2 linked regions of the Caenorhabditis elegans genome follow. The protein of the gene in region 1 interacts with the protein of each later gene in a pairwise test. Each region holds a gene or a part of one and is shown in the gene's direction. Other genes may lie near its edges.

What was found.
Region 2: the proteins of C11E4.6 (region 1) and R07G3.8 interact in a two-hybrid assay, tested with the Caenorhabditis elegans proteins (2 studies listed by BioGRID).

What each region holds. Positions count from the first base shown.
Region 1 is NC_003284.9:9,602,832-9,619,649, forward strand, and holds C11E4.6 (ANK_REP_REGION domain-containing protein), read left to right. Parts: upstream 1-7,731; 5' UTR 7,732-7,744; coding exon 7,745-7,869; intron 7,870-7,916; coding exon 7,917-8,256; intron 8,257-8,446; coding exon 8,447-8,677; intron 8,678-9,192; coding exon 9,193-9,541; intron 9,542-9,656; coding exon 9,657-9,971; intron 9,972-10,019; coding exon 10,020-10,331; intron 10,332-10,379; coding exon 10,380-10,508; intron 10,509-10,746; coding exon 10,747-11,267; intron 11,268-11,689; coding exon 11,690-11,860; intron 11,861-11,930; coding exon 11,931-12,153; intron 12,154-12,258; coding exon 12,259-12,389; intron 12,390-12,513; coding exon 12,514-12,659; intron 12,660-12,714; coding exon 12,715-12,958; intron 12,959-13,442; coding exon 13,443-13,577; intron 13,578-13,620; coding exon 13,621-13,761; 3' UTR 13,762-14,214; downstream 14,215-16,818. Other genes in the region: C11E4.7 (PID domain-containing protein), read left to right, coding at 14,416-14,536, 14,831-15,285, 15,334-15,495, 15,543-15,586, 15,731-15,950, 16,000-16,134, 16,179-16,262.
Region 2 is NC_003280.10:7,609,794-7,626,611, reverse strand, and holds R07G3.8 (CYRIA/CYRIB Rac1 binding domain-containing protein), read left to right. Parts: upstream 1-6,098; 5' UTR 6,099-6,099; coding exon 6,100-6,316; intron 6,317-6,364; coding exon 6,365-6,627; intron 6,628-6,672; coding exon 6,673-6,746; intron 6,747-6,796; coding exon 6,797-6,952; intron 6,953-7,310; coding exon 7,311-7,509; intron 7,510-8,002; coding exon 8,003-8,098; 3' UTR 8,099-8,374; downstream 8,375-16,818. Other genes in the region: cdc-42 (Cell division control protein 42 homolog), read right to left, coding at 9,132-9,221, 9,567-9,764, 9,815-9,979, 10,033-10,155; Immunoglobulin domain-containing protein oig-4, read right to left, coding at 12,200-12,297, 12,526-12,577, 12,623-12,772, 12,822-12,989; R07G3.7 (uncharacterized protein), read left to right, coding at 12,931-13,055, 13,313-13,545, 13,594-13,750, 13,905-14,166, 14,670-14,851, 14,899-15,040; lips-17 (LIPaSe related), read right to left, coding at 15,823-15,900, 16,348-16,574, 16,724-16,811.

The sequences.
Region 1 (16,818 bases):
CAAAATAGATAGCAACATGTAATTGACTAGGCAAATAAAACAAAATTGCTTTGTTGAAGCACGAGTTTCATTTTTGTTCCATCTTCTTCCTTGTACAATTCTCCGAAAACATGATTTTCTGTCCATTTTATCAGTTTTCTATCCTTTTCCATCTCGATATCTCGATAGATTTGAAAATCCAAATTCAAAACAAAAAATGAATAAGAAAACGATAGCGGCAACCAACATCATCGTCGGCGTTCTTCAAGTTTGTCGTCAAAAGGAGACACGCTGTGAGTCAGTTTTGTCTGATTTCATGCTCTCTTCGCATCCCAACGACGGGTTGTTTGAAATTCGAATGCACTTTTAGATGGGTGATATTCGAATTTTTAAGCAATGAAAATCTATTGCATTAAATCTTTTCGAGACTCCAAAAAATCTTTAATGGTCTGGTAATCTTAAAGCCCCGTTTAAATCACGAAATATCCGCTATTTGGGAGTATGCAGAGTGAACGTGCTAGGTTGTTCCGACTCAATAGACTCATGTTTATATAAAACTAGCTTCCTTAGCTTGGTTTACTTGTTCGACAATATCAGTCTGAGTACCTGCCATATGAATAAAATCAGATCTTAAAACAATCTGTGTCTTCAAAACTATTCCATAAGCAGAAGCTGGCAACCCAATTTTTCTCTAGATCTTTCACTCCTCTACCAACGACCACGATTCCTTGGTTCCCAGGCTTCTTACGCAACATATCGTATGCTTTTTTTTAAACCGAAATCAAAACATATCAGCAACGACCACCTGTTTTGTGGTTGGGTCTCCCCAACCTTCACCTTTTTGAGGTGGTTCAACTCCTCCTTTTTTGAATGGCGCCACCTTTAAAAGTTGGGGAGGTGTTCCAGAGCTCCGCCCATTGAAACACTTTAAGATTTGAGCTATCTCAAATCATTCTCAAGTAGATATGTCAAACCATACAAATCTCCCAACTATATTTGAAGAAGGGTTCGAAACTTACTTAGAGCTCGCACACGTCGACGACGAAGCAAGTGGTTCAGACCTTAGCCTGAACACAGAAGATTCAACTATTGATCTTGAATTTCTTGGAACCTTTTCACATTATGATGAAAACCCCAACAGCAGTACCTTTACTGTTGATTTTTTGAATTCGTCCTGTGACTTCAGTAATCCTGATGCAGCGATTTTTGAAGATATCAAGAGCATTCGACTTGGTTCAAACGATTTGAGTACTTTTCCAAATGAAAATGAAGCAGTCTATAAAACACCTAACAATCAGATAGAAGAAAGTGCAGATTCACGAAATGCCAAAAAAGACGAATCAGTAAAGAGGTGGTGGCAATTTTGGGGGTAAGTTTTCTCTTGAGTTTTTGAGAGAAGAATAGTGGGATTCTGTGAGTGAGTGAGAAAGAGTAGAATTCATTATAGATATAATTTTTATTAAAATAAATAATGTTTTGTCAATTTCTGTAATACAAATTTACCATGATAAAGTCGTTAATTTTAAGTGTATGAAAATTGAATTGTTTCACTGTAAGCTTATAAGACCTGGTTATGTTGAGAAACTCCGTAACTTCATTTTTAAACGGTGGTTTGAATATAATTTTGTATAATGGAATTTCATTTGAAACATCCACAGGAGCATATTTTGCAATGCACTCTCTAATTAAAAAAAAAAACTGCGTTTTCTTCACGTTTTGAGTTAGAAAGCAATGCTTAAACAACCGTCTTTCGTGGCGAAGTTTTGTCGAAAATGAGTTTTTTAAAGATGATTTATTTGAAGCTCATATTATGTTTAAATGGAGGTATTGTTTGTGAATTAATACAATATAGATAAACCAGCCGATGACCGCGCCTCCGGCGCGGCCAACGACTGGCGGAGTTTAAAATGTATAACACATAGATGTCCTTTCAATCATTCAAAAATGTATCATTAAAAAAGTTGAAACTTCATCGATTAAATCGCATTTTCTTCTTCCATGGTATTCGATTCAGAAAATTCAAAGAGACAGTTAGAATGTTCTGATTTTTCTACACTCAAAATTATAAAACTGCGTTGCGTGTACCCCAAAATAGTCCCCGCCTTTTTCTCGTTCACTCACGGGGAAAAGGCAAAAAGCAGTACCCCAGGTAATATCAGCCGCCGACATCATTCGAGGTCCGCGCACCACACTATTTTTCTCACTGTTGGCGTGGCGAGCTGTCCCCCTCCCCCGAAATAATTCCACAGAGTTACAGTTTTTTCAATAAGTTAATAACTTTCCTTAACTGGAGAAGTCTGAATAATTAACTACTAATAGTAAGTTCTTTGAATATAGATGTGACGAAACAAATAAAAACTCCTACAGTTATAGGAGGTTGTAGAGCATTTCAGAACTTTTTGAATTTTCCAGATGATTCTAGAACATTCTAGAATTTTCTTGAAACTTCCAGAAGGTGCTGAAACAAAAAATTGATTCCAGAACCAAAATTTGAATTTCCCGCCAAATGTTTTCCTCAGAAAATTTGAATTTCCCGTCAAAATCTTTTTCACTGAAAATTTGAATTTCCCGCCAAATTGTTTTTTCACTGAAAATTTGAATTTCCCGCCAAAATTTTTTCACTGAAAATTTGAATTTCCCGCCAAATTTTTTTTCACTGAAAATTTGAATTTCCCGCCAAAAATGTGGGTCTCACCGCGAAGGGTCTCACCACGATGGGTCTCACCACGAAGGGTCTCACCACGATGGGTCTCACCACGATGGGTCTCACCACGAAGGGTCTCACCACGATGGGTCTCACGACGAAGGTGACAGGCCCCGCCCACAACTCTCACTGACTTTGGGTGTGACGTCACAGACTACAAAGACTACATAGACTACAAACTATGGACAGACGAACTGTATTTTTTTATATATAAGTAATGATATTTTTTTCATAGAAAATTTGAATTTCCCGCCAAAATTTTTTCACTGAAAATTTGAATTTCCCGCCAAAATTTTTTCAGAAAATTTGAATTCACGCCAAAAATTTTCAAAGAAAATTTGAATTCCCGCCAAAAAATTTTTCAGAAAATTTGAATTCCCGCCAAAAATTTTCAAAGAAAATTTGAATTCCCGCCAAAAAATTTTGAAGGAAATTTAAATTCCCGCCAAAATGTTTCAGAGAAAATTTGAACTCCCGCCAAAAATTTTTCAGAAAATTTGAATTCCCGCCAAAATTTTTCACAGAAAATTTGAATTCCCGCCAAAAAATTTTAAAGAAAATTTGAATTCCCGCCAAAAATTTTCAAAGAAAATTTGAATTCCCGCCAAAAAATTTTGAAGGAAATTTAAATTCCCGCCAAAATTTTTCAGAGAAAATTTGAACTCCCGCCAAAAATTTTTCAGAAAATTTGAATTCCCGCCAAAATTTTTCACGGAAAATTTGAATTCCCGCCAAAAAATTTTAAAGAAAATTTAAATTCCCGCCAAAAATTTTCAGAGAAAATTTGAATTCCCGCCAAAAATTTTCAAAGAAAATTTGAATTCCCGCCAAAAAATTTTGAAGGAAATTTAAATTCCCGCCAAAATGTTTCAGAGAAAATTTGAACTCCCGCCAAAAATTTTTCAGAAAATTTGAATTCCCGCCAAAATTTTTCACAGAAAATTTGAATTCCCGCCAAAAAATTTTAAAGAAAATTTGAATTCCCGCCAAAAATTTTTCAGAAAATTTGAATTCCCGCCAAAATTTTTCACAGAAAATTTGAATTCCCGCCAAAAAATTTTAAAGAAAATTTGAATTCCCGCCAAAAATTTTCAAAGAAAATTTGAATTCCCGCCAAAAAATTTTGAAGGAAATTTAAATTCCCGCCAAAATTTTTCAGAGAAAATTTGAACTCCCGCCAAAAATTTTTCAGAAAATTTGAATTCCCGCCAAAATTTTTCACGGAAAATTTGAATTCCCGCCAAAAAATTTTAAAGAAAATTTAAATTCCCGCCAAAAATTTTCAGAGAAAATTTGAATTCCCGCCAAAAATTTTCAAAGAAAATTTGAATTCCCGCCAAAAAATTTTGAAGGAAATTTAAATTCCCGCCAAAATGTTTCAGAGAAAATTTGAACTCCCGCCAAAAATTTTTCAGAAAATTTGAATTCCCGCCAAAATTTTTCACAGAAAATTTGAATTCCCGCCAAAAAATTTTAAAGAAAATTTGAATTCCCGCCAAAAATTTTCAAAGAAAATTTGAATTCCCGCCAAAAAATTTTGAAGGAAATTTAAATTCCCGCCAAAATTTTTCAGAGAAAATTTGAACTCCCGCCAAAAATTTTTCAGAAAATTTGAATTCCCGCCAAAATTTTTCACGGAAAATTTGAATTCCCGCCAAAAAATTTTAAAGAAAATTTAAATTCCCGCCAAAAATTTTCAGAGAAAATTTGAATTCCCGCCAAAAATGTTTCAGAAAATTTGAATTCACGCCAAAAATTTTCAGAGAAATTTTGAATTCCCGCCAAAAAATTTTAAAGAAAATTTAAATTCCCGCCAAAAATTTTCAGAGAAAATTTGAATTCCCGCCAAAAATGTTTCAGAAAATTTGAATTCACGCCAAAAATTTTCAGAGAAATTTTGAATTCCCGCCAAAAAATTTTAAAGAAAATTTAAATTCCCGCCAAAAATTTTCAGAGAAAATTTGAATTCCCGCCAAAAATGTTTCAGAAAATTTGAATTCACGCCAAAAATTTTCAAAGAAAATTTGAATTCCCGCCAAAAAATTTTGAAGAAAATTTGAACTACCGCCAAAAATTTTCACAGAAAATTTGAATTCCCGCCGAAAAATTTCAAAGAAAATTTAAATTCCCGCCAAAATGTATGGGTCTCGCCACGATGGGTCTCGCCACGATGGGTCTCGCCACGATGGGTCTCGCCACGAAGGGTCTCGCAACGATGGGTCTCGCCACGAAGGGTGACTGGCCCCGCCCACAACTCTCAGTGACTTTAGGGGTGACGTCACAGACTACAAAGACTACATAGACTACAAACTATAGACAGACCCACACTATTTTTTTATATATAAGTAATGATCTCAAATTCACAATTTCCTTTGTCAAGTTACTCAAAAGTTGGCTTTTGTTTTGAATTTCACTATAAAGTAACCATAGAGACATCTTATTGTTCTTCCATTATACTTCACCTCTCTATATCGACACGGTTCTCATACACCTACCAATTACCAGTTAGCGGAAAAATATGCACTGAACTGAAAAAGTCGTCATAGTCATTATGAATACTATTATTCGTGTCACATTTGTGTGATGGGTCATCACACCATCATCATTTCATTCTCTATCTTTATACATATCACATCTAGTTTCTACTTGTTTATGCATTGAAAATCTGATGCTTCATGCTGTAACAAAAGTTTAGGATTTATTTGCACGACCTGCCCTACCTCATTCCTCGTCTTCCACATTTTCTAATCAAATGAATTGAGGACAAGAAGAGATATCAAAACAGAAGATAGGTTGATTTAGCACGGAGGTGATAATTGGCGAAAAAATGGGGGAGAAGTGAAAGCGCTAGGTGATAAGGGGAAGAAAAAAGATGGATGGATGTGCGTTTTTCTTGACATATCTCTTCCAATCATGCCATGTTTCCGCGGTCCCGTTCAAAATCACACGTCAACTTTTTATTTTGATAGATTAGATATATTATTTCAATGTATTCTTCTCGCATCTCAAATATTTAGGAATAACTGGATTGAGCTAAAAGAACTTTGAAATGCTATATTTATACCTTTGTTTTGAACACCCAACTTTTCAACTGGTTAATACACTCTTTTTTAAAAATGCAAATGATATAACCAAAACTTTTCGTGGGAGTTAATTAAGTTAAAAATATTTTTAAATAAATATATTATTTAATATATGGTGTACGGTTGAAATTGTAAGCCAAAGATTTTTTAATGTGCGGTGTGAACAACGAAACAGTTCCAAAAGTTTTTTGAAAAATCTCAGTTTTTAAAACTTCGAACTTGGGGATTTAATATAAAATATTTGGAAAACTACGAAATCGCATATCTGAACCGCCTCACTATAGTTTTTTTGATAACATTTTTCATACATTTGTGGTTTTCAATTTTTACTTGTCTAATTTTTATTTTGATTAACATAAGGACAATTTTTCTGTAGAAAGTGAGCAGAAATAATCAATTTTTTTTTTAAATCACATTGGAAACTAAATCCTCAACGCAATTTTAGATGTTTGAAGTGATATGTGTTTATTATTCACCTACATATGCAACACGTTGGAAACACTTATTACAACTTAACAGCACGGGTTTATCATTCTTCCTTCCTTCCACCTTCTCCTCTCAATTTCCACCCTTTATCTTCCCTTTACTGCACTTCATAAGTGCTTTTATCTCTTTTTCTTTTCCTCTCGATTTGCAGCATGTCATTATCTTTTTTGTCGTATATGTTTAAGTCAACGATTATTAACTTCAATTTAAGCATCGACCGTGTATCCTGTGCTATTATGTTTTTGTTGTTTGAGGCTATTTTGAAAAGTGCACAGCCTCCTCCGCATGTGCTCACTAGTTCTAATTGAATTTATCTGATTATTCGAGGAGAACCTTCTCAGATGCATAGAGTTGGTTTTTGTTCAAAAAATTTTTTCTTAGTCAGAAGTTAAATGTAATGTGCACCCATCACTGATCATAGTACATATGAATATAAAGTTTATTCAGCGAAGTTAAGGATTCTAACATGTAAAACAGCTGAATTATTTAAATTAGGAAAAATCGGTTAAAATCACCTTGAAAAATGTTGCCATATTGACTATAGCTATTAAGTAATAATTTTCTAAATGGAATTCATATTAATTCAGCTGGCAAATTTGGAAAAGTGTTTTGTCACCATCATGTTTTATTTTTATTTTTTGTAATTCAGTTAAATTGTTGGACGCTATGTTTTTTTGTTGAAGAATTGACACGAAATTCGTTAAAACTATAATTATCATTTTTTAAGAACATATCCGACAACTTTTCGTGAGAGCCATTGCAGTTTATAAAAGGTATCTTGTTCTAGTGGTACATTTTAGATGTAAACTCGCAAAGAGCTGATAATATGAGGAAAATCTTCACTATAATTTTTCACCTAAGAATATCCTTGATGACTACAACTCGAACTCAATTTTCCATAAGCTACTATTAAACTTTTTTTTCCTACATTGACCATTAGTAGTATTAGCTGTAGTTATATTCTTTGTTGTTGTTGTTGCATCCAATGCACTCCTAGACCGACAAAAATTGCAAAGAAGAAGAGGAGAAAAGAATGTGTAGTTTTGTGGAGTTGTGAGTGACCGGCCATCCACATTGCGCCCTTCCTATTCCCATCACCCTGCTTTCACCACTCTTGTCGAGATTTTGGTGAAAAGCGAGTAAAATGCAATACATTACGAGGCATTCTTCGCGCGGGAGGAAACCCGGGGACCCCCTTGCTTTTCATCTACAACACTCCCTTTTTCTACATATTTCGCATTTCCTATCTTTTTATGCATTACTACTTCTTGTGGACCCCTTGAGTAGCAAAATACAACTACATCTCAAAAAGAGAAAGTAAACAAGATTAAGACAAAAAACTATATGTGTTCACAAAATCTGTTCTTTCTCCTATATTCTATCCGTCTTTTTTGTTTCCTACTTTTCTTTTTGTTTTTTGACATGAACATCTGCTTTCTCTTTTGTCCTAAATTAAATTCTGAATCGATCATTTTACAGGAGCTCAGATGAAATGAGCCTCAAAGACTTTGTCATATCAAAAACCGAAGTAATCGATGCTTGTAAAAAAGGAGAATATGATAAAGTTGCGTTGTTTCTCAGCTCGAAAAAGGGCAAAAAGATTCGAAGCGGGCTGAAGTAATACTTATTTTCTAATTTTCAAATAAACTATTGATATTTTTCAGATTTTTCACAACGCGATCAGACAGTCATTGGCTCGCCGACTACAAAGATGAAAAATCTGACTTCACCTTACTCCATCATGCGGTTCTCGAGAATCAAAATCAAATCAGTAAACTCCTTATGGACTACGAACCACTTCTTTTACTGTGTAAAAGTACAAAAAATATTTTACCAATTCACTTGGCCGCCTGGAATGGGAACTTGGAGATTGTGAAAATGCTTCTTTTACAAACAATGGAAAAGCCCGCAGATATTCTGAATGCAGTGAACATTTTCAATGAAACTCCACTTCATCTTGCAGTTCAGAGATGTCATCTTGAAGTTGTGTTCTATTTGATAAAGGTAAGCAAAGATAACTTTGAGAATTAAAACTATTCGACTGTGAACAGGAACAACATTCATATCTATAATAAGTTATTCAATTTTGCAATGCGTTTGACGTTTGATTCTTGTATAGAGATTAAATTGTTGACAGATTTAACAATTGTTAGCTTGAAAAATCACGTATCGTTTCAATTTCCTTAAATTTCAGAAAAATGCCGACCCCTTCATTCGTAATGAAAACAAGGAAAATGTGATTGACGTTGCATCACGCATTGGATCTGCTGAAGCCATCAGAATGTTGTGCCAAAAATGGCCAAAGTTTCCTGTGCAGTCAGCATATGAGTCTCTTCGAGTTGGAACACCGGACATAAAACGGCCCTTTCCGGCCATATACCCATTTCACCTTGCAGCAAAGTATAATCACGTTGAGTGCATGCAAGTGAGTTGCTTTTTCCACTTTGCTATTCATTATTCAAGAATTGAGTATAAGAGTAAGGGTGATGCAGAATAGTTTACTCCTTGCGTGAATGTTGGTAGCAATTTGAGAATAGCAAAAAAACGGGGTTAATTTTCTGATAGGCGTGTTTCATATGAATCTGCAAGTTTGTACAATGTTTACAAATTTGAAATTCGAAATAGATTCGATAGTAACATGCTTATGATTTCATTTTCATAACTCATCCCAAAAAACGTTTAGTTTGAAATATAAACACTCAACAGATATTTTTTTGACTGTGCACTTATGCGTCACGGTGTTTGCGGTTTTCCAACAAAAAAAACTATATTTTCTGTAGTAAATATTTTGAAACACTACTATTTATTATTTGTATTTTTGTAGTTTAATCATAGGTTTATAAGACTCATATGTTCTGTAGATTTTTTTAGTTAAACAAACCCAATCAAATAATTTACTGTTTCACTTAAATGAAAAATGTACTAAATGTTTAATTTCAGGCTCTTCGTGAACATGGTTTCTCCATTAACTACACTACGGAAGATGGGACAGCTCTACATGTGGCTTCTGCTTGTGGACAGGCCGAGGCAGTCAGGTTTCTGCTGGAAATTGGCGTGAACACTGATATCAAAAATCAACACGGACAAACAGTGCTCCAAATGATCATCGATCTCCAGGAGAACCGAAGGAATGAAATCGCCCATTTTGTAAAAAATCCGGAAGGATGGAAGGAATGTAGAACAATTATCGAAGGAATGGATAGAAGAGACTCTGGAAGAGAAACCGAAGGAAGTCAAAGTGACAATGAAAGAGAAGCAATTTGGCAACCACTTCCAAGTCAAGCAAGCGGTGGGTTATTTTTAAAACTAATAATATGTGCATTGTAAGGAACATTTCGGTTATCAATCGAGTTAAGCTCAAAGTTCAAAATCTGAATGATAAATAAAGTTATTCACGATTTCAGTTCAAGTATACCCGGATCAACGAAGAAACAATCATTCCATCTACCAGCCACCTTCTATTTCTGCAAGACTGCGAGATTTATCCCCCGACGACTCTACAGAAGCTTTGAACAGTGTTCGATCAGAGGGGCCTTACACCACACACTCTATCAATCGTACATGGAACAGTTCCATGTTAGACAGAGCTCCAAGAACTGGAAGGTTCCCGTTGACATCGCCTAGTTATCACTCAAAGCATTATTCGTGTCAAAGATCCAGCGATACATTGCCAACGAGGCTGAAAAATGTTAGAACGAGGCCAACAGAAAAGCAAATAGGTAATCTATTATCGATATTCTGAGTTTACGGATTGACTTTATTTTCAGCTTCTGTACTCCCGGGAGATAATTGTGCATACAACTCTCCTTCAAAATTCAATGAATGGCAAAAGAGTCAACTGACCATTAGCAATCGTCCGCCAGCACCATATGACAACGTTCCGAACAACTCTGCAATATTCGTCCGCCCCAACTCACCAATAGCAAGATCTGCATCACTCCGTAGACAATCCGGATACGCAACACTTCCAAAACTTGCCACCTACTCTCCAAGAATTCCAGATCATGGTCGTCCTGACCTGAATGACGCCTTTATTCAAGACCCAGACAAAACAATGGATAGGTCATTGAATCGGAACCGTAAGTATAGGAAACGACTCTAATTAATATAAAATAAAGACTTTTAAGAGTTTTCTATTTCCCGAACTACGTGTGATCGTGAAGAATCGCTGGGATTGACGCAAAGTCCAAGACTGGACACCAGAGCAAGCAGCATAACATCATCCTTGACATACGCGTGCTCGACACTTGACAAAGGTAGGCATTTTAAGCAAAAATGGAATGATTTAGGGGCATACGACAACCTAAAAAATTTCTAGCATATGATGTACGAGTTGATAAGTTCGGGTAGATTATGAGAAAACGAATCTTCCAACACTGATCTCATGCTCGGTATCTTGTTAACTCTGAAAAAAAACTTTGGTCAATGACAAGGAAAAAATCATTTCCTAAACTTATGGAGTCCTGAAGTCAATCTAAATAAATGCAATTTCAGATAAGTTCTTCCGGGAACGCGAACGTGATAACGGCCGTGCACCATTGGCAATGCCAGAAGAAATAACAGGTTCAGTGACAGGCAGTGTCATTTACAGCCAAGGAAATGCGAATCAACATCTAAATGGGAATTATGAGAAAGACAACAATGTGACTGCAATTTTTTTAGAAGACGTGATGAGACCATCATCAAACTCTGCCGAGAGCCCACCTTCCCCAAACACCTCTAAAGCATTCATCTTTGACGCGTTATGTGGAAAATCTCGGCTGGTTGACTCTACAAATGTTGATTTCTTCTCTGGATTCTCGTCATCGTCAAATTTGAGCCACAGAAGCACTGAATCAACGTCGAAGGTGCAGATGAATAGCAGTTTCACTGAGCCGGAAGAGCCTGTCCGAATCCGCCGTCAAAATGGAACAACGAACCTTATGCTGAATTCACTTTCACCCACAGATAATTTGTCGTCCCCCTCATCAGACCAGAAATCAGACACGACCAGTGAAGAACCTAGTTGGGATAGGGTAAGTCGATCAGGGGACAAACCAATTTTTGTTTATTTTTTCGTAACAATGGCGTATCTGCAAAAAGCACACGGATTTTATGTTTCTCAACAGTTTCTCAATAGTCAGCTATTGTTAATGTAAAGAAAAACAGATCAGAAGTTTTTTTTAATGATAAAAACCTGCACTCGCTGTGCGGGCTTAATTCTTACGGTGTATTTGAAATACAGAGCCAGAAAAACTGTAATAGGTCAGTCTTTTTTGTGTATTTGCAAAGCTGGGTAGCGGGAATAAAACGCAGTAAAAAATAACGGCAGCGCCTAAACGTTTGTGCGTTTTTGGATTATCAGCATTAAACAACAAAAAACGATTTAAATGTCAATTCTATAATTTCAAATTTGAAAAAAGTGTCAGTGAAACTTTGTTAATTTTTTGTATAACAGGTGGAAAGTGTATTCGATTCGTTTGGTGCAGCTCCATGTCGTGAAAGTGTTTTTGTTCGTGAATACGAGCCACGTGTGGCAGTTTACTTACGTGATCGTGGGTCGAAAGCGTTGAGCGTAACACTTGTCGAGGATGAGTTCAGAGATCACAAGTCGCTTCTTGTAAAAAAGGTACTTTTAGTTACATTTTTGTTTCAACTTCCATTCATGTCACGTTTTACACCGGTTGTTCATGTTTCAGCAACCAAAAACAATAATTGAGTGGTTGGAAAGTGATGTTATGTTAGCCCCAGTAGCGGCTGATTCAGTTGGAGCACTTCTTCAAACTCATGGATATGATAGAATGGATCAACTAAAAGGGATAATAAATAGAAGTATCCTTACGGAAATCGGAGTAGATGACGTCACCAAGTTCAAGATAATGTCAGAGATTGAGAAATTGAAGGATGATGTTGCTAGTGCTGGTTGGTTTTTTTTTGAAACATAAAACACATTCATAAAACACATTTACTCTGCCGGAACATTTTAAGAAACCTTCATCAATTTTTCAAATCACTTTTCAATTCCAGGACGTTTCTTCTATGTTAGTGAATGGCTCAACTTCATCGGACTTCAAGATTACATTTCCAACTTTGTCGGTGCAGGATACAAGCATATGGCAAAATTGACAGAAATTGACTGGGACACGGCAAGATTGATGGTGAGTAAATTTGTTCAAATAACAACTTTTGTGATTTTAAGATACTTTTTATCACTGATTTCGCGTTTATTAATCAAAAAATATCCATAGACCTGTGATAATTGTTGCATATTTTTAATTTCAGCAACTCGGTGTTACTCGTCCTGGTCACATTGCTAGAATGCTCCATTCGTTCAAAAAAGCAGAAGACGAAAAAAGAAAAGAGTACAATAATCGACTACAGATTAAGCCATTAATGTCACCTCCTCCTCTGCCGCCAAGGTCAAAACAGTAAGTTTTTAATGAGAAATAATTTTCAAAAGAACAAACATTCAACAAGTTTCAGAAACAACTGTGCTGAATGCCCACAAGGCGATTTTGACAAGATCAAGAACAAGTTGCTGCAGGGCAACGTGGTGTATCGTGCACACCACCTCGGTGTTCTGGAAATTGGAGAAACCGAATGCTCTGATGAAGCTCATGCAGCTATGACAAGAATCAAAGAGTCGATAATTGACTGGGAGACTATTCCACGGGTTACTTTGGATTTGACTTGCAATGGAATCACTATCTTCGATGAAACTTTTAAGGTAATGATTAAATTATCACCTAATGGAATTGACAAATTGTAAAAGTTCAGCAGAACTGAGAAGCGGTTAAAGAATAAGGGGGTCGGGAAACAATAATTTAACGACTGATACACCTGCATTCGTTGCAGGAAAGTTATGACGTGAAAGTATTTCATAAAATCTGATTACTTATGAAATATACTTATACGATGTGAAAAAAACACAAAGATATTTTAATCGTATGGTATTTCGGAAATTGGATTTTAGAAATAGAACATCATATTTCTCGAACCGAGAATTCATATTTTGTTTGTGTTTATCAATTTTATCAATTGTATTTTCTCAGCAGACGTTAGAGGTTGAGACGTTTTTTGACTAGTCTAGGAAATTCGCCGCAATCGGATATCAGCTGTAGGCCACAAAAGACCACCCGCAATATTAATTTGATTAGAAAATCCGAAGCGTTGACAAACTTGCCCCCCGATTAATCTCAATGATTTTTTAGACTCTACTTGACGGCTATGGTGTCTATACAATAAGAGTCGTATGTCAGGATAGAAAGGATCTCAACTTCTTCTGCTTTGTTGCAAGGGACACTGAAAATCGTTTCTTTTGTCACACTTTCTGTGTGCTGACCTCGGTATTTCGCACAAATAATGCCTTAGAAAAGTTCATATTTCTAGGGAATTGCCGCAGAAATCATCACCACAATCGGAATGATGTTTGAGCTCAGAAGCAGAATGGACAAGTCTCTGCCAATCGAAGGAACAATGGTACGATGCCGGCATAACAGTCAGCAAACTACTGAGAACCAAAGAAATTAAATCCAGCATATCGGTCAAATTCCAAAGAATAATTATTACCATTGATCCCAGTATATCTGAATTTCAGCCATAAGTAGATGAGATTGGCTTTTGTTACGTGTAACTTTACTTAATTTTTAAAAACCTTATTGAAAGTTGTTTTCAATTTAATTTCCTAACCCGATGTCTTCCTTACCCGGAAATGTTTTAATTCTAGCTCTTCAAAAGTGCATTCCGTTGTTTGATGTTCTTTCTATTCTTGTTTTCCCAACAACTTAATTTTCTTTTAGCGATTTCAAACCATACAAAGTGATCAATAAACAGTATTCTGCTGATCTTACGTATTGGTTTCATCAACCCCTCACATCACATCAACCTTTCTCGATTCTATCCTATCGTTTTTTTCCAAAAACCCTTCAATTTTTTTGTCCATAATGAATTGTTCCCATCAGTTTTAGATACATTTTTCACCACAAAAGATGTGTTTTTTTTTTGCCCATCAAAGGGCCATAGGGGGTGCCGTCGTTTTGTGATTCTTTCAAAAAGATTGGCAGGAGAAGATAAAACTGAACCGAGTGCAGGAACAGAAAAAGCAAGGATGAACCCCTCCCTTTTCGAATTAAATAAATAGAGGAAGGGAAGGCGGAACGGTTGCATTTTTTCATGAATGCATCCATGAACGAACTTTATGACGTGAAAGGACTTGGACTTTCTTCAATGGATACGAATATTAGAAATGCACCATCCGTTATAACATCGTCCCCTGGACCATCAGTGTCAATATCGTTAATTTCAGGTATTAGTTTTTATTAGAGAATTTTCTATATTCCAATTTCTCATAATTATTGTTAAAATGTTAATAGAAAAATTTCAAACTTATTAGGTAACCGTAGATAAAATCGGTTTGAAAAGAAAATGCTCAAAAAAATTTTCACGTTTCATGCCAAACAACAAATATTGAGAAATTTGTTTAATGAATGTTTTTTTTCAACTTTAAATGTGTTTAGCGAAAGGCCCTGAATTAATTTGAATAATTTCTTACAACAACACAAATTTTGTGTGACTACGAATCCGGAGATCAGTCTTGCAGGATTGACATTGCTTCCAACTTCGTGCCCACAATGCCATAGTTTGCATACTTTGGACATAAACAAGCTGATGTCCTCAATTTCAAGTCTTAATACTGCAACTAAAATAACTCCCCACATCTCTTCATCGTCTTGTTTTTTACCTTCATTCAGTCATCAAGTTGAAGAGAATTTTCAAAAACGAAAAATATTTAATGAAAAACCACAGCCTGAAAAAAGAATTTGTATGGAGAATATGTCGCATCCAGTTCCATCAATTCCAATCATTTCCGCACCTTCAATTCAACAGACCAAACATCCAAAGCACGTGTTTAATGATTGGATGAATTTTTTCAGCAGTTTTAATGGAGCTGTTAACTTGAAACTAGATGATGGAACAAAAGGGAACAACTTTTACTATCAGTTCCATTTGCAACTAGCACAATATTACCAAGACAAGATGTGTATGGAAGGAGTTGTAAGTGTAGACTTTTATACTGATGTTTAATGAAAAAGCAAATTTCAGATTCAGTTAGGAAAACCGTTCAAATTGGAGGAAACTTCTGACGCGGATCGCATGAACATAATCACAACTTCTGTTGCTTCCACGTACAAAGCGATGTATGACAAAGAAATAGAACGGTTGACATTGGAGAACAAAAATATGGCTGACAAAATTAGAACCCAGGTTGGACTAGAAACGTAATTGCAACAATAAAAATAAACATTTTTCAGCATGCTACGTCGATTTACTTGTTTCCTGGAATTGCATATGGAAGGTCAGTTTATCAATTCGATAGCTTTGAATCTACCTAGCTTTTTAAACTTTTTGATTTGAAAGTTGTCGTACTTCTTTTTTGATCATTCCACTTACAGCGAACTAGCAAATTATTATTGCAAATTATATTACTTTAGATTTTCAGAAATCCAAGTGAAGATTCACCCGAAGTAATTGATCATTTGATGTTCGAAATAATTTACAAGGGGTTTATGGAAGTTACACCCGAAAAAGATACAAATAATTTTGGGAAACAAGTCCATGGTGTGCTCACATCAATAAATTGCAAAACGAGAAATGAATGCTCAACGAGAGTTTCAATGATGACTGTTTCTAACAGCGAAATTGTTGTCCAAATTCCGTTTGTAAGAAATTATTTCTCAATATTGTAAATGCGTAAACAATTCATTTCAGACATCTCGGATCAAAATCTCAAACATTCTGGCTGTTGGTAAGTATGGCGAAGACCGAAACTATTTCTGTATTGCATATCACAATTCGAAAACTGTGGAGCATGTTAAAATAATTGTTTTTTGCACACACAGTTGTGTAAGTTTTAGTTCTAGACAGCGATAATGGTTAAGATTTTTCAGTTTACATCATCAGATATTGTAAATTCTATAATACGTAAGACGGCTATCAATAAAGGACGTGAAGCATTGATGATACAAATCTAAGAACACCGAAGACAAATATATATATATATATATATATATATATTGATATCTTAAGAATTTGATTCACGTTGGTGCTTGTATATTTTACTTGCGAGAAACCATTGTCATATTTAAAATAACTTCTCATGAATATTCTGTTAATTTCATTATTTAACTGTTTTTTTTTCAGTTTAGAGAACTTTATTAATAGCCTGAAAAGTTCAACAGATCTTGTTCAATAAGGAACGAACGTTTCCAAAGGGCAAGAAACCTACAGTACGCACTATACACCACGAAAACTTATGTGACACATGTTATGACTACTCTGAACTTTTTGTATCGAGAATGGGTGGAAAATTCGCATTCTTCAGTGTTCGCCGGTTTCGATTACAAACCTGATCACTTTCCTAATTTGTTCGCCAAAGATTAATAGTTAGTGAACTGTCGGTGTTCTTTGATTATTTTTTCAGTTAGTATTTTAACTGGAAGGAAATGAATGTGCTATCAACGTATTGAAAACTGTTTTAAGTTTTGGTATTCAGCATGAGCATGCTTTTTGTAATATTTAGAAAGTTTA
Region 2 (16,818 bases), on another chromosome or scaffold:
TTACCTAAAATTAAAACATGAACCTAATTTCATTCTCACGTGACACTTTTGAAAACAAATGGGAATTTTCGATCAGTTTTTCAATGGTTTTAAGCAAATAAAAAGTGTCACGTGAGAATGAAAATTAGGCTAATGTTTTAATTTTAGGTCATTTGAAACAATGATTCATCAAAAATGAACACGATATTCGTAAATAACGTGCTCTCAGCTTTCTAAAAACATATTTTTCGGCTCAAATATCCCAATTTCATTTTTCGGTCATTTTCCGAAAGGCAAAAGTCCGATTTCATTTTTGGGAGCGGAGGACGATTTTCGAGATGAGCAGGATTTTTTGAAAGATTTTTTAGGACATTGTAGAGACCTCAAAAAAATGATCATTTTTCAAAATTTCAAGTCGATACGTTGGATATGAAGAGCTTTATGAGCGAAAGTGGATTTTTTCGAAAAACGGTATGTAACTTGGGTAAACATGAAAATATCAAAAAACTTGAAATTGATAAAATGTAGCAAAATATTACACAATTATTATTTAATACAATTTTTTACCAGAAATTTAATGAAAATTGGGTTTATGAGTGGTACAAAAGAAAGTTTTCAAAATTTTTGATGGCTTTGGGGAAAATGCCTTTGACTCGATGTAACTGAACAAATAATTGGTATTTTGCAATGAAAAGTATTTCTGAAGAAAGAAAACATAATTTTAATCATTTTGTTAGTTGATCATTTGTTTTCTAAGCTTGTATTTTTCAAGATAAGTCAGTTTGAAGACGTACCGTTTTAGCAACTTTTTCCAATTTTCAACTGACGAAAATTTGTATTAAAAAGATACCTACCGTATTTCTAAACAACATGTTCTGATATATTCATTCTTTTCATAGTTTTCTACTGGTACTATAATTTTCAAAGTTACAGGAAGCTCAACGATTGAAGGTTTTGTGAAAAATGTCTCACAATCAAATAAACCCGATTTCTTTCTTTTCACCAACTTTTTCTACTCCAGACTCTTCGTTCTTTGTCGCCATTTTTAAGCGTATGCACACAATTTGTCACTTCTTTGCGTGCCGAATCCCCAGTGACTTCGAAACTTGAAACGACACCATCCGACATCCAAAACATCCGAAAACGTCGTCTTTTTCTTATTCGTTTTCTTTTTTCTTCTGTGCCATTTTGCATGTTTAGACAAGTCATGAATAGAGCAAGGTGTCTCCTGTGAAACATGAATTATTCATCGGCCAGTTAAATGAGTGAGGGTTCTACGACCGGAACGCGTGAGTCGCTTCGTGGCTCGCGGAGCATTTCCTCCTTTCTTCAGCGTTTCGTCTAATGGCCGCAGAGCCACCCCACTTCGCCTTCCAAAACTCTCCGCTAACACTTATTTCGTCAACTCTCTTATTGGTCCCCCCGCTCTAACAACATTCGGGTTCCCCTATTGCAAATTGGTTTCTTCCTTCAAACTTTACTCAACCTAACTACATAACCTTTATTATTTATTATAGGAGCATGTTTTCGAAATTTATTGAGTATCAAGTTTTCAATACTCACTGAATTGGCTCCTTCAAAATAAATCGGTTTTGGGGAATCTCATTTTGCCCTGAATGTTTCTATCAAGAACATTCCAAAATCAAAAATTGAATTTCGTTTGCATTTTTAAAAATTATACTTTGTCTAAAAAGCCTACCATTGTTGTATTGAAAAAATGATTTCGAGATGAAGAATTCAAAAGTGCTTATATTTTTCTGAAATTTCAAGTTTTTTTTAAATAAATTGTTGAAAAATTTTGTTTTTTATTGAAAAATGGTGAGAAAATCCTTGGGAATTAGGACGAAATTTTCAAACTATCCGAAAGTAAAATTCTAGAAAAACGTAAAGTTTGCACACTTATCAAATGTTTTCAACTGCTCAACTTTTCATTTTACGAGTGATCCATAAAATGGGGAAACAGTTTTTCGTCTCTTTTCGTAACTTCACAAACACATTCATAATGATGACTTGTTTTTTTTTTTGAGCCGATTCCATTCTCGATTATGCTAATATAAATACCATGTCAAACAGGCTCCTCCTCTTCTTCCTACTCACTCTCGTTTGTGACTTTTTCGATTTCAACGATTAAAACAGTCATAAATCAGGTGAGAATGCTGGCTGCTGCTGTTTTCACTGGTTTCGCCCTCCGCTCTCACTCATTTATTTTCGCGCACCGCCATCCGTAATATGCCATATGCTTTCCAGCCATGTGTGCCGCAACGCGCAGGCTTATGTGACATTTAGAATCGCAAGATTCATTCATTCGATCAACCATAAAATCAATGAGAAAAGCGACCGACTAATTTCCGAGAGCGGAAGCAAAAGCATAAAAGAGCCCCTCCCTCCCGTGTTATGAACGTGGTCAAATATTTGAAAAAGAGTGAGGACATATGTCCACGCAGAGTCATGCTTCTTGTGTCTCACCTTCTCTTTGCTCTCTACTGGTCATTTCACCTGACTAATATCTTCTTTTTCCTGTGTTTGTGTGTGTGTACTTGATTTCACAATTTTTCCATTAGAAAACTGTACCTACAGTAAACGAATGTTGAGTAAATCAAACTGCGAAACTTCTGTAATTTTGTAATTGATTAGTGTCGTATTGTTTTTGTATGCATCATGATAATATGATTGCGTTTATACAAAATCTCTTACTGGCAAGGCTCCGGCTGTAAAAAACTTTTTCAAAAATTTCTATAGCTCCAAAAAACAAATAATATTCTACTGATAACAGTGTACATTCCAAAAGTATTTCCTCAAACCTTCCGTTCTCCAATCGGACATTTAAATCATTTATCATTGTCATCATCCACCATTTTGTTCCTTAATCTCAATTCCGCACTTGTTTGACTCCCAGACCAAGAGGATCGCGGCGGCGGCGTGTGAAACACAATACAGTGCTTTGCGACGCAGAGTGACTGGCACAACATGTCAACTGATAGACAGTGCGGAGATAGTTTATGAGTTGTAGAGACGCAGAATGTCTCGGAAGTTGCTCTCTTTCTATTCCTCTTCTTCCTTTCACTATCTCTCTGTTGGTGCTCGCGGTGCCATAGTCCAGATCTCTTGAGGCTATCACCACTTTCTTTCACGACGTGATAAAAGCTTTTATAATTTATGAAAAAGAACTGTAAACTAATTGAAATAATGAAAATAAGAAACCTAGAATAAGATGTAGTGAACTTCCATTAGTCAATACAATTTATTAGTCATCGTAGTCGGTACTTTTGTGTGTGTATCTCTCTATGTCTATTACATCTCATGACACATGCAACAAAAGCGAACTTTTACTCATAGCCTTGTTTCATTTCAATGCCCAATCATCAATCGAAAACAAATTGTCATTTTGTTTCTCTCTCTCAAATCTCTCTAATCCTTCACATCTCGTCGACATATGTTCCCCATTGATATCAAATTTTCAAGTCGTTTCGCTCATCTTCAGCTTTTCCTCCTCTTACTCCTCCAGATAAGTGTTGCCAATTCAGTTGGATTTCCCTTTCCTTCCAGAGTACCCTCTCACTCTACAGCTTGTAAATCGACACCATCTGGCACAGGACATAATTCGATTTTTATTTGCTTTTGTTTCCACTTTTGGCTCAGTCCTAGAGCTATACATAGTTTTCATTAATCATTGGAATGCTCACTGAGTTTTATGGGTTTTGTGTTTTGCTCGAAGTGTTCTAAAATTAGAGCTTTTTGTTCTCAAGTTTTGGTATCAATATTTATTTTGGTAGCTAATTTATTTCCATACTCCGAGTTACTTTTTTCAAAATGGATTCTACAAAAATTGAGCAGTTGATTTGCTAAATCTTTAACTTTTTCTATAAAAATTCCGCACTAATGTTAAAGAACAAAAAATGAAAATTTTAGAAAAAATAAAAGAGAGTTAAATGAATAATGCATGATTCAATTTCTGTTTAGTCTTCAGAATAACAATCCAATTGCTTGTTGTCATTGGGCTCATTCTCTCTTTTTTCCTTTCCTCGGCCGTTTTTTTTTCAAATTTTCTATTTGCTCCAATTTGTGTCACCACCCCAAAGCCGCTCTGTTTTTTTTTTACTTTTATTTTTTTTTGATTTGTGCTACCTATTTCTCATGTCTCTCATTTCGGAACGTTTTGACACTTTGTCAACAACCTATTTCTCCTTTTCACCTATTCTTTTATTCTTTTTTCTTAGATCTTATCGCTTTTCTGGAGTAGTCACAAAAAAACCAAAGCAAAGAAAAAACGGGTGCCGTTGAATATATCGGAAGCATCACGCCTTCAGATTAAATTTCATTTATTTTTTTTTGCTGCACATATATATTTTTCAATTTTTACGAAAAATCTATATCACAAGGTTGTCCCGTTTTCTCGTTCCATAAACAATTTATGATTGGAAAAAAAAACATTTCCAGTCGCAGGTTTTCTAGATACCTGCTGCAATTTATTCGTATCACTTACTCCGTTTGAAACAAATACTTTTTTCTAGGAAATTTTGTAATCAAGGGTTCAAATTCTACAATTGCTGATAATAAAAATATTTGCATATCTATTTTTTTCTGAAAAGTTTTGAAATAATTGTTTTTTGATTAAAAAAAACGATCGGAATATTCAAAGCTCCTTTTTGGAAGAATTTCTGCTTGTCTTTTACATCAAAAGTATAAATTTTCCTGAAAATTGTACCCAAAATTGAAAATTTTTCAGAATCCGTAAATATTGTTTTTGTTAAAATCCATTTGTCCAAGGTCACAACTTGGTAAGTATCTCTTCTTCTTTCTTTCTCTCTAATCATGTCTTTTCTCGTGTTCTATTCCAATTCATTCTTTTCCGTGTGACACTTCCAAAGAGTCTCTCTCTCTCTTCAATTTCCGTAAGGACGACGTCTTCATCCATAAACAACTTTTCACTTTTCCTCACGTCGCCGGCCCGTTTATGACCGCATCGTGCGTCCACCATTTTCACCCATTTTCCCCTAATTTCCTTTCATTTCAAAATGACCCAAGCATTGTCTCAAGGCTCCCTCTCACTCTCTTTTGGTCATTTTTATAAAACAAGTAAAAGCAATAGTGAGCCAACAGCACCAATTTCCTGCTCTTCACGCATTTTGTATCCATGAGCCATTTTGTTTCGGCGCACAACGAGCTGTGCACTTCTTATAGTCTTCTTTCCAATGGCTTCTTCTATTTTTCTTCCATTTCATTTTTGCGGACAACATCCACTAGGAAATGCATTCCCGCGCACTGCTGCCGATATATATGTACACAATTCAAACACCGGCCACCCAATATGTTTGCATTTTACAAGTCCAATCTGTTCGGTTACCTTTTTTCTTCTTTGCTTCACACCCACACAATTTCGGTTCTCATTCAAAATACTTATCTAGCTGACAGACAGTTTTTGGTTTTTCACAATTGATAGTGTAGCCATGGTATCTGACTATAAGTTTTGAAATCTTTTAAATTTTAGACGCGACAAATATTACCGTCTTATGGTGCTAAAATGTCCAAATGCCAAAGTTATATTTTTTGTTTTAATTTTCGTAGATACGAGTTCATATTTTGTTATATTTAAATTATATTTGTTCCAACATCCCAGGTGTTGCAGTACTGTTTTAAACTTCTCATTGTCAGAAAGTCCAAGTTTTCGAAAATTAACCTAAATTCATTATTATTCAAAAATCTAAAAATTCATTTTTGTCATTTTGGATAATTATATATGTACCAAGACAATTTTTTTAAAATTAGATTTAAAGTGCACCAAGAGCACTGACCTTTTTACTTTACTCGCAGCAATTTCTGAAACAGCTGCAATTTGTACCAGGTGCATCTTTCCCCAGCTTTTTTGTCCGGCTATCGTCCAGCTGCCATTTTTAAGATTCTCCTTCGAACACTTTGATTTCATTCCCTTTCAACTCCAGATGGTACTTGTTTTCAAGATTCCCAGTTTTTTTGTTTTCCATTTTCCCCCATTTCAACTACTTTTCTCCGGCATCTTATAATCTTCATGTGATCATCGTGTAATTATACGCTTATTTTCTTTTTATTTTCCAACTTTCACTTCTAAAATACTATTCAATACTCAGCTTAATGATTCGCAGAATGCCGTCGAATATTCGAGAATCTGATGCATCTTGTCTTGAGATGATACGATCAATTATACGATCAACAGCAGATGATAATTCAAAATGGGTCGAGATTTTTGTGGATTTTGAAAATGCACAACCAACAGATGAAGAAAGGGAAATATATAATATGGCTGAAGAAGTATTAAATGATTGTGATTTAGTACTTGCTGATGTATCAAGTTATGGAAATGGTACGTTAGATTTTTATTTTTTAGTAGACTTGTAACATCAATTTTCAGGTTGCTATGCAGAAAGAAATCAATTAAAAAATGACAGTGATACTCAAGCTTTAAAAGTTTTAATGACAAAGCTTGAACCATTTGTTGCCAGAACATGTTCCTACTATGAACATGTTGCAAAAATTGAAAAAATCGTACCAATAATTCTATGGGAATTATCATCTGGCCCATTACCTCTCGAAGAACAACTTGCAAATAAACAATCAATTGCCAAACAGTTTGCACGATTAATTGGATTTGTATTGGACTTTGATGTCGTAAAAGTATGAATTCCACTTTTCCAATTAAAGAAAAAAATTTAATTTCAGATGAGAACCGCCCAGATAACAAATGATTACAGTTATTACCGACGAGCAAAACATATTGTTTATCAGGATTTTGAGTAAGTATTTAATTTATTTGAAACAATCTAATATAATTTTAAATTTGTAGAGACCAAGGAGTTCCCGAATTACCACAAGTTCAAATGTTTCTTTGTGAAGGAAATCCAATGTTAAAAGCACTTTGTAATGGTGTAGATTCGTACATGCAGACACATCAAAGCTTGCCAATTAACAATACAACTGATGTTTTTGTAACAATTATCAAGTGAGTTTTCTATAAATTAAACTGAAAAACATACTTTTGGAATATATCGTAAACTCCATCCGCAATTTATGGAACACAAGCAAGAAAATGGAAATCTTTTAAATATCGTGATTAAATAATTTTTAGTGTTATGAAAAGTTTCAGTCAACGTTTTGGAAATCTGACAAATCTTTCAAAAATACTTCCAAAATTATGAATTGATCTTCTTTTTCACTGCAAATGAAACATTAACTTTTTTTGGAAAGTTCTTGGTCATTTTTGCACTTTAATAGTGATTTTCAACTACTTTTTTCACTGATCAGTCATGAGTTACGATATGATGAGTTACGGTAAAATAAAATTGTATTAAAATTTTCAGCGTTTGCCGATTCATGTTAGCAAATGACGAATGTCTGGCACGACTGACAGATTCATCGAAACATCTTTGCTGTCGAGTGATGACTGGCCTTGTAATATTATTCGATCACGTAGATCAAAATGGTGCATTCGTGTCAAACTCATCAATTGATATGAGAGATGTTGTCAGGTTGATCAAACTAAATACCACTCCTGAACAGGTAAGCGTTTTTCATATTTAGAGTTTTCGTGTAGTAGAGCGAAAATTGCTTATATCGTTTTCCAAACATTATGGGGACGCAGAAAAATGAAATGAAGGGGCAAGCTCGCTCCAACGCCAAACTATGAGTCTCGTTAGGAATTGACAGCATTAATTCATACAATTTGAAGTTGTTTTTAATGATTTTTGTTTCAAAATTATTATTTTAAAAATGCATGTGACAATGAAAATCGAATTTTTTTTTCGTTTATAAATTTTAATTCATCAATTTCGGACTGAAATTAATTTAAAAGAATAGCGGAAAGCATTTAAAGCAGACGAAAAATGTTTGAACATGTTCGAATTTCTAGTTTTCTGCGAATACCTAACGAGACCCAACAGTTTGTCCGTAAAGCGCGATTGCAAACGCGCTTTCAAAATGAGCATTTTTCTGCGCTTCCATAATAAAAATTAGAATAAAATTGAGCAACCCATATTAATTGTTTTATTTTCAGTCTGATTGTCTACTTGCTGGTCTTCGTTTCACAACAAAACATTATAATGATTCAAGTACTCCAAAATCTCTTCGTCATTTGATTGAAGTGAAATAATTTCATTTTTTGTCAATTTGTTCATTAATTCTAGTCATCCTTGCCTCTATTTTATGTTCTCTTATCGTTTCTAGTTGAAGCCCATTTCCTCATACACGGTGATTATGTTCCTCTCCTCGTCAAACAGTACTTTTTGTCAGTGATAATAATTATTTTTCGTTCCAATTCACCCACTCATTAATTATTTTTCTCAATGCCTTATGGTTCCGGTTCTTCTTTTTCTACAACACCCACTTGTATACTTTTCAAGATCTTTTATAAACATCTTAATTTTTTATATCACACCTTTATTGTTTTGGATCGCAAATATATAACAACAATATGTAGAAAAATTAAAATACAGAGTTGTTCTGGAGAAAGGAGGAGGGAGACACAAAACGTAGTGGATGAGAAAACAGTTTAAAATGGGAAATGGATGTGTGAAGGCAGAAAAGCACAAAAAAAAGGAAAGAAGAAAAACAAACTGGTCGGTATTTTTGAGCAGCAAATGAAGAAACAAGCGACTCGGGATGTAGTTGGTTGTGCTATACAACACCTATTATATAATTATAAAAAGAACCATGGGAAAGGAGAAGGCGCATTACGTAACGGTGTATCCGGACTATAAACACGTTTTGGGATAAAAAAGAAAATAAAAACGACGACGAAAATGTTAAAGAGGAGGTGTCATTGAAAAGAATGATAGTTAATTTGGATGAACTTTTAAAAATTTTCGAGGGGATTATTCGATAAAAATTCGAAAACAGATGAGAAACTATAAACTGCCCTGCTTATCGAAATTCTATACGAAACAATTAAAAAATTCTGGAATCATGCTCATCGAGATTCTACTGGATAAGTTACAGGAGACGAATTGAAGAAAATCATCTTCTATGATGCTGTCAAAAATAACAGCAACCGCTTCTCGTTTGGCATTTTTCAGGGAAATTTAGAAGTATGAGAAGAGTGGAAGTCGGGGGCTAAGAAAATTTGGACATAGAAAGAAAAACACAGTCACAAAACAGAGGAAAACATGGAGACAAGGAAGACGTTCCTAGAGAATATTGCACTTCTTCTTCTTCTCCTGTTGTGGTGGGTCGAGAGCGGCCAGAATGGCTTCGTCGAATACATTTTTCAGTCCCTTCTGAAAATAAACTATTTAAACTTCAATATACAAGCGTTTTTAATCAACATAATATGAAAACTATGGTATTTTCAGCCGGAATATAGAGCATTTCAGGAGATAATTTTTTGCACAATAAAAACAGAATTCTGGTTGTTCGTTTTTCCCGAAAACATGACCGTTGCTAAATATAAAGCAACAATTTAACTGAAAAGTGATATTTATATTTTAAAGTGTCACGTATTTCCACAAGAGCCTCGTTTTAATATTTAAAAATTTATTATTTGATTAGGTTTCGTGGATTGGATGATATTTTATTTTAATGTTTCAATATTATCAATGACTATTTTGGAAAGAATGACTCACCTGCGTCAACGCTGAGCATTCAACGTATTTCACTGCTTTCAATTCCTTTGCCAACTTCTCTCCAACATCCGTTGACACTGGTTTCTGCTTGTTTTTTGCCAGTTTCTCGAGCATTCCTGGATCATCCCTGAGATCGACTTGAGTACCAACTAACAAGAATGGGGTCTTTGAGCAATGATGCGAAATTTCAGGCACCCACTAAAACAATTTCAGATATATAGAATAAATTCGAGAACAATATTTCTTACTTTTTCTCGGACATTCTCGAATGAAGCTGGAGCAACCACGGAGAAGCAAACAAGAAACACGTCGGTCTGTGGATACGATAGAGGCCTTAATCGATCGTAATCTTCCTGTCCAGCAGTATCAAACAATCCTAATGTGTATGGCTCGCCACCGATCATTACTGTGACCTGAAATTCGGAAATTATTTTTATATAAAATAATTTTTTTTTCTTAAACTTACGGCGTAATTGTCGAAGACTGTCGGCACATACTCAGAAGGAAACTTGTTTGTGGTATAGCTGATCAGGAGACAAGTTTTACCGACAGCTCCATCTCCAACGACGACGCACTTGATCGTCTGCATTTCGCCTGAAAAAAAAAATGAATAAAAGTATTAAAATTACGTCTTTATAGTGAAAAATACGGATGAGTCACATAAATGTGCACGCACACGTTTTAAAAGGAGAGATAACTAGAGAATGAAAACGAATTGCGAAACATCAGGCAGAAAATCAATAGTCTCTTTCGAAATGCCACGAGCGTTTCTTTACCATTGGGAGCAATAATTATCGAAGAAAGAGCAAGAAAAAAAAACGGTAAACGCCTTAATAAACGATGAAGAAATAAGGCAAAATGGCCAAAACAACTTGTGCGTATAATTCTTTAGATGAGGAATTTTGGCAATGATTCATCGGTAACTGGTCGGAAGTTTGAATCGGTTTTCCGTACCAAACAACTTGCATATATTTGAAACTAGTTATATTTAAGAAAAGGTACAAAAATAGGAATAATTCGACATGAAACACTGGAACATCTCAGTCAGGATTATGTTAGGGGAATTTGGAAGCAATGTTCAATAAAATGTCACGAAAATGATTTCAATAATTGTTAAACAGTCAGACAAACTTAAGCGGACCATTTTTTAAATAATTTAAAACATGATTGCTCCTTTCGAGAAAATTTATCAAATTAAAAACTGATAGGATACTTCGATCGTCTACCTACGTTTATTGATTAATTCTGCTCTTATAAATGAATAATCAATAATTAGAAAAAACAATAAAAGCCTGTAAAACAACGAAAAGCGTGAATGAGCTTTGTTGAACACGGCGAAAAAAGGAAAAAAAGAAGATGGTGGACAGTTTGTCGGCGAGCCTAAAGACGACCGCGACGCGGCCGCTCGCACTCATAGACTACGCTAGTGGTGAGATACGCAGAGAAAAAGACGAGAGAGTATTGAGAGAATGGAGACATCACTACATCTAACATAGGGTCGCCAGTCGTCACCGAATTATTGGATTCAAATTTAGGTCCCGTAACTCGTGAAAACTTATTAGATCGGTCAGTTATCTAGATAGAGTACTTGATTAGACAAATGATATCCCAGACTGGTCAGTTTCAGTCTAGAAATGACGCTGTAAACTTCGTAAAACCACCAAATAGGATTTCTAAAGTCATCATCTAGAATTTAAACTATATCTCACTTTGTTACGCTGTGAGGATATTATACATACATATTTTGTATGTAAGCTTAGTCTATAACTAGCGTAACCCGTTCCATGCTAACAGACGGGCGGCCATTTTAGTTTTTTATTTTTCCTGTGCGAACGATTGCCAGCCAGAAACTTCTTTCTTTTTTCTTGTTTCTCCTAGTGCAGAATATTTGTCCTCAATTTATAAATACCATCTCTAGAATATTAACTTCGATTGAATCCGTTGTGTTTTCCATTTTTTCTCAATTGTATTTCGTAAAATTAATTTTAAAATTGCCTTCTTTTTAATTTTAAGGTTTTATATTTCAATATGCTATTTCGTATTTTTTGTCTTACATTTCTAGATAGAATTCTAACAATGCTCCGATTGAATCTCACTCGCGAAATTTCTATTTCTCTTCTTTCACTTCAATCCAATCGACGATTCAATCTGCCCTAAATTTTTAGAATTGCATATTTTCTCTTGATAACTTCATTGTAAACCGTGTGAATTCCATGAAATTACATGTTCGTAATACTTTTCCCAATTAAAAGAAGAAAAATTTGGAGTTTCGATAACCGACGGCGCGTACTTCTCTTCTTCCTTATTGTTCGATCAATAGTCCCCCAATCCGGTTCCCTGCCGCGTCTCCTCCCTTTTCCGCGCGAGATGTGCCTGCTTTTCGTTCATGAATTTCGTTTACAACGTCATCAGCTCTTTTTCTGTATTCATTCTGAACACATTCCCGCCTTCACTCGAATTTACCGCCACCGCACACCTGTTCATCCCGCTTCTCTCACTCCCAAACACTGTTTGTTTTGTCGCTCGTGCGCCTGCACGCAACAGAAGGAGGAGGTTTCAAACGCATTCCTTCGCAAGTTTATATGATATAGATTAGGTGAGAGAAAATTATTTGATTTGTGAAAAATCTTTATTCAATACGTATATTCTGCTTTAAAATTCTTTGCCATTACTCCGTGCGGGTTATTAGCCACACATGCATAGACACCCTGATCGCCCATTGTTGCCGGATCTGAAAATATGACAACTGTCGTATATTTAGCTGTCGTTATTGTAGTTTGCCATTCGCTCACAGTTAAGAAGAAAAACTTTAAAAAGCGCTGAATATGGCAAAAAAATTGTAGAGAAATGAGCGAAATTCCAAAATTTGCTGACAGTGACAAAAAAGTTTCTTATCATATTGTATCATTTTTCGCAAGGGTTCTAAAGATATTCTTGATTGACAACAATTTTCACTTACCAACTTCTAATTTACTCCAAATTGTATCATTTTCGATTGGCTTTTCGTAATACTGCAAGTAAAGCAGTTAACCCACGGATTACTGTACATGACTCACGTGAATGCTAGCTTTTGGTTGAATTTCAGCACCTTCCTTATACCATTTAATTGTCGGTCTAGGATCTCCACGAGCTTTGCAAATGATAAGTAGTTTGTATCCAAGCCGATATGTTTGACTGAAGTGAGAGCCAGTTATGATTTGAGCACTCTGAAAGACTTTCAAATTTTGTATCATTTTTTTTATTTCTGAAACTCGCTCTATTATCTGACAAAACCGTTTGAACCAACGAAAATTCTGCAACTTGTGCAAATTGCAGATTACTCTTTCCCTTTCCTTTTCCGCCTCGACGACCTCCTCTAGAATCGATGGCTTCCAGCAAGAAGCAGAAGAAAAAAATGCATCGACCCCATAATCGGAAGCTCATGATTCGCGATTTACCAGTTGGTGCAGCCTATCTTCTGCACCCGTCACTTCGTGGAATTTTGTTAAGGTGAGTTGAAAAAACTCTAAAAGAATTATAAATCGAAGAACATTTAAATCCAATTAGTTATTTAAAAAATATCAGTAAAAAAGTATTGATCGGAAGTCTCTGGACTTCGATAGCATGTGTTCTTGCTCTCACACCAGTGTAATATTTCGACAGAGCAAAGAGAAACGAAGAAAAGAGAGGAGTAATGTGTTTTATTCGATGTATGTCATGCTTGAATCTTTGTTATTCGGGGATGTTCTAAAATATTTATTTTTCAGCCGTCCAAAACGATGGAACAGTGGAAGCCCTTCCCATCGAATTGCAGTGAATCTAGTTCGAAAATACAAGAAGCAGCTGAAACCAAGAGTTCTTCCATTTTTCTGTGATCACTGTAGACTTGCTTCTCGTACGCTATTGCACATTAAAGAACATGTTTGTGACAAGGAAGAAAAAAGAAAAGCTGCGAGGAAGGAAGAATCGAGAAAATTTGCAGATTATGACGTTACGAATGGTACGAATAATTTATTATTCTCAATAATCCTTATAAAAGTAATTTCAGAAATAAAACTGGCTACAAATTCGGAAAAGCAATGGAGATTCAACGCTATGGCTGTGTTAGAACAAACATTAAGACCCAATAAAGTTGCACCGAAAAAAGTTGAAATAGAAGAAGATCCTGGAATAGATCAATTACTAGACTCTGAGCCAGACCAAGAGTGAGTTTGAAATTGAACTGAAGTGGTGAAGACGATGAGAAAAGAGAGAAGAGTGACTCTCAACTCGATTAGCACCTCCGTATTCGTTGTCTTTTCTTTTTCAAGAGTCTTCCCTTTCTTTTTTCAACAGAAAAGTAATTCAAGATTTTTGCAGATTTTACGACGCTCAAGAACAAGAATTTGAAGATGATACTCCACATTATCCGATTAAAGATGTTTTAGTTCCATCAAGTCAGCCACCTCGTCCAAAAGTGACTTTGAAATCTTCTGAATGTCTCGGTCACAATGATGCTGGAGTGTTCTGTTTCAATTGTAAAGGATCTTTTGACAGCTACAATCAGTTTCAGCTACACCTCAATGAAGATTATAACGATGGGAAATGCAACAGAGCACTTCCGGAATATTATTATGTACAGGTGAGTATTTTTTGTGTGAGAATTTTAAATTTTAAAGAAAGTAGAAATTCGTCATATTACCAAAAAAAGTAAAATTTGAAAATTTATGAATTTTTCAGTATATCAGAATTTTTTGTTTTAAAAAACATTATAAAAAAATACGGCTTCGCCAGTCCACGAAGAAAAATCGAAAAAGAATATCTACAGCCCTGGAGAAGGGTACTGTAATTTAGGAAAAAAAATATTGAATTTTATATGTTTTTTGCGAATAATATATAATTATTTATAAGAAAAACTAAAAAAGTACAATTTGAAATTAAAAAAAAAAACTGCACATAAGAAAAAATATGAAAAATCGCCGAAAGTGCTGAAAAATCAAATTTTTATTTGAGATTACTGTACTTCTTAAAGGCGCACGCGTGTTTAATTTTTTTACAAAACTTATCGTGTCGAGACCGGGTACCGTATTTTTCGCAACAATAATTGAGATAATATAATAAAGGCTAAAAAATAATATTTTACAGAGACACGATAGAACTCACATGTTCGATAAAAGATACAAACACAGTGTACAGCATCACAAGCCAATCAAGAGAGATATCAGTCATATTCAATGTACACTGTGTAAAGCCGTCAACTTTGCGTCAACAGGAGATCTTTATGCACATATGGTTAAATGTGCATCGTCTACAACTAATGAAGACAAGTAAGTCATTAAGATTATTGGATTTTTGAATATTAATTTCTTTTCAGAGAATCTGCAATTGATTGTCCAACAGCATTTGGTTATGGAATGCCTCCTTCATTTAATGCATGTCAGTATGTATTCCCTGATCCAGCAAAAGAACGGTATTCTCGAAATTCTCGTGGTTCTAAGGAACCAGTAGAGTCATAGCTACGACTCTTTATTTTATCCGTCAGTTCCTTTATCCAAATCATTCTTCCTGTAATTTAGTTTCATGTTTTATATTGATTTTTATTCAATCGCTTCTTCCTACACCATGTTCCTCATTCATCTTCTATCCACTTTCTCCTATTGAGGACTGCCACCGCTAGAAGCGACAAAAGCCATACTTTGATCTCACAACAGAACTACCTGAACTTTAAATTCAAGTTCTTGTAGTTCAACTGTCAGTAATTCTTATGCTCATTCACAAAGCCATTACCCATAACATTTTTTAAATGTATAATTTTTTATTGTATCTAGACCGAAATTTTTTCAATGAGTACCAGTCAGAAATTTTATCAAGATATAATCTTCAATATTTTCTGACAGTATTCCATGTTCATCTAGCATACAATTTCAAACGTTGTGATTCGATTTCCCGAGGACTTTCTCATTTCCCGCCTTCTTTCCATTTGCCTTCATGATTTTAGTTTTTGAAAATTAGAGCCGCTCAATTTTATCCATCGACTGGCTCGATCTCGGTTATGTTCTACAAATTTACTTGTTTTATGCACTTCAATAAATCTTTTTTATTAAACTTTTTTCAGAAAATCTAGAACATGGAAAGATTTCGATTGATATTAAAATAATATTGGTATGCAACATTTATTTTAGAAACAGATAATTTTCGAATTTGAATGTGTATTTAATAAATTGATACACATTTAATAAATTGATTTAATAAATTGAACAAATGTACAGAGATTTCGTTTTTAAGAATTATTTTTTTATCATCCAGCATGTGTATCAATTAATTTAAATTGTAAAGCAGCAGTTTTGATCAATACATCGTCATGGTTTCCTGGTCTCTGAAAATTTGATTATTTATTATTAAATATTGTATTCCCAGAAGCGTTATTTTGTGATTTTTCCACAAAAATACGGTATCCGGTCTCGACAATTTTCGTCAGAAACAAACAAGTCTGCGCCTTTAAGGGATACTGTAACTTCTAACTTTCGTCTCTGTGGAATTTTATCGACTTTTCGTAACTTTGCAAACGAATTGTTAAAATTTATGTGGGTTTGATTGTTTTTAATTAATAAATATTATTTAAACGAAAAACTTCGAAACAATTGTGAATACTGCACATCAACGAGGGTTGAAATTACAGCACTCATTAAAGGCGCAGACCCTTTTGCATTTTTCCAAAAAAAATCGTGCTAAGACCGGGTACCGTAGTTTTGGCGCAAAAATCGCAAAATTTTGTGTCTGGGTAATAAGAAGGCACTTTTGAAGCCTTGAAGAAATATCTTACTTCAAATTCGCCGTTTGCTCCAGCAATCTGTGAGCATAACTGTCCACAAGTATTACGGTATCCAACTTTATCGTCTCCTGGTCCGTAAATTGAAAAAATGTATTTTCCTTCATATCTTGGACGAGAATTGATATCCTTAATATATGCAGACATACATGATAGTCCATTATTCATGTTACATGCTCCAGGAAATGGAAGAGCACAAAGGAATGATCCACGATTGGCTCCTGAATTGATAATTCGAGAAGAAAATGATAAGAAAGCTCTGGGCAGTTGTAAATGTTTTTTTTGGATCAGATAAAATAAATAAATTAAATTAAACATATAAATTACATTTTCGGGTTCCTACGAAAAAAAATTTCAAAATTTAACTTACCAGCAACAGATACATATGTGTCAATTAATGCAGTCAATGGTGGTCCGAGATTCTCTCCTGTTTCCACACAAGCTCCTCCGAGAATTGCCTAAAGA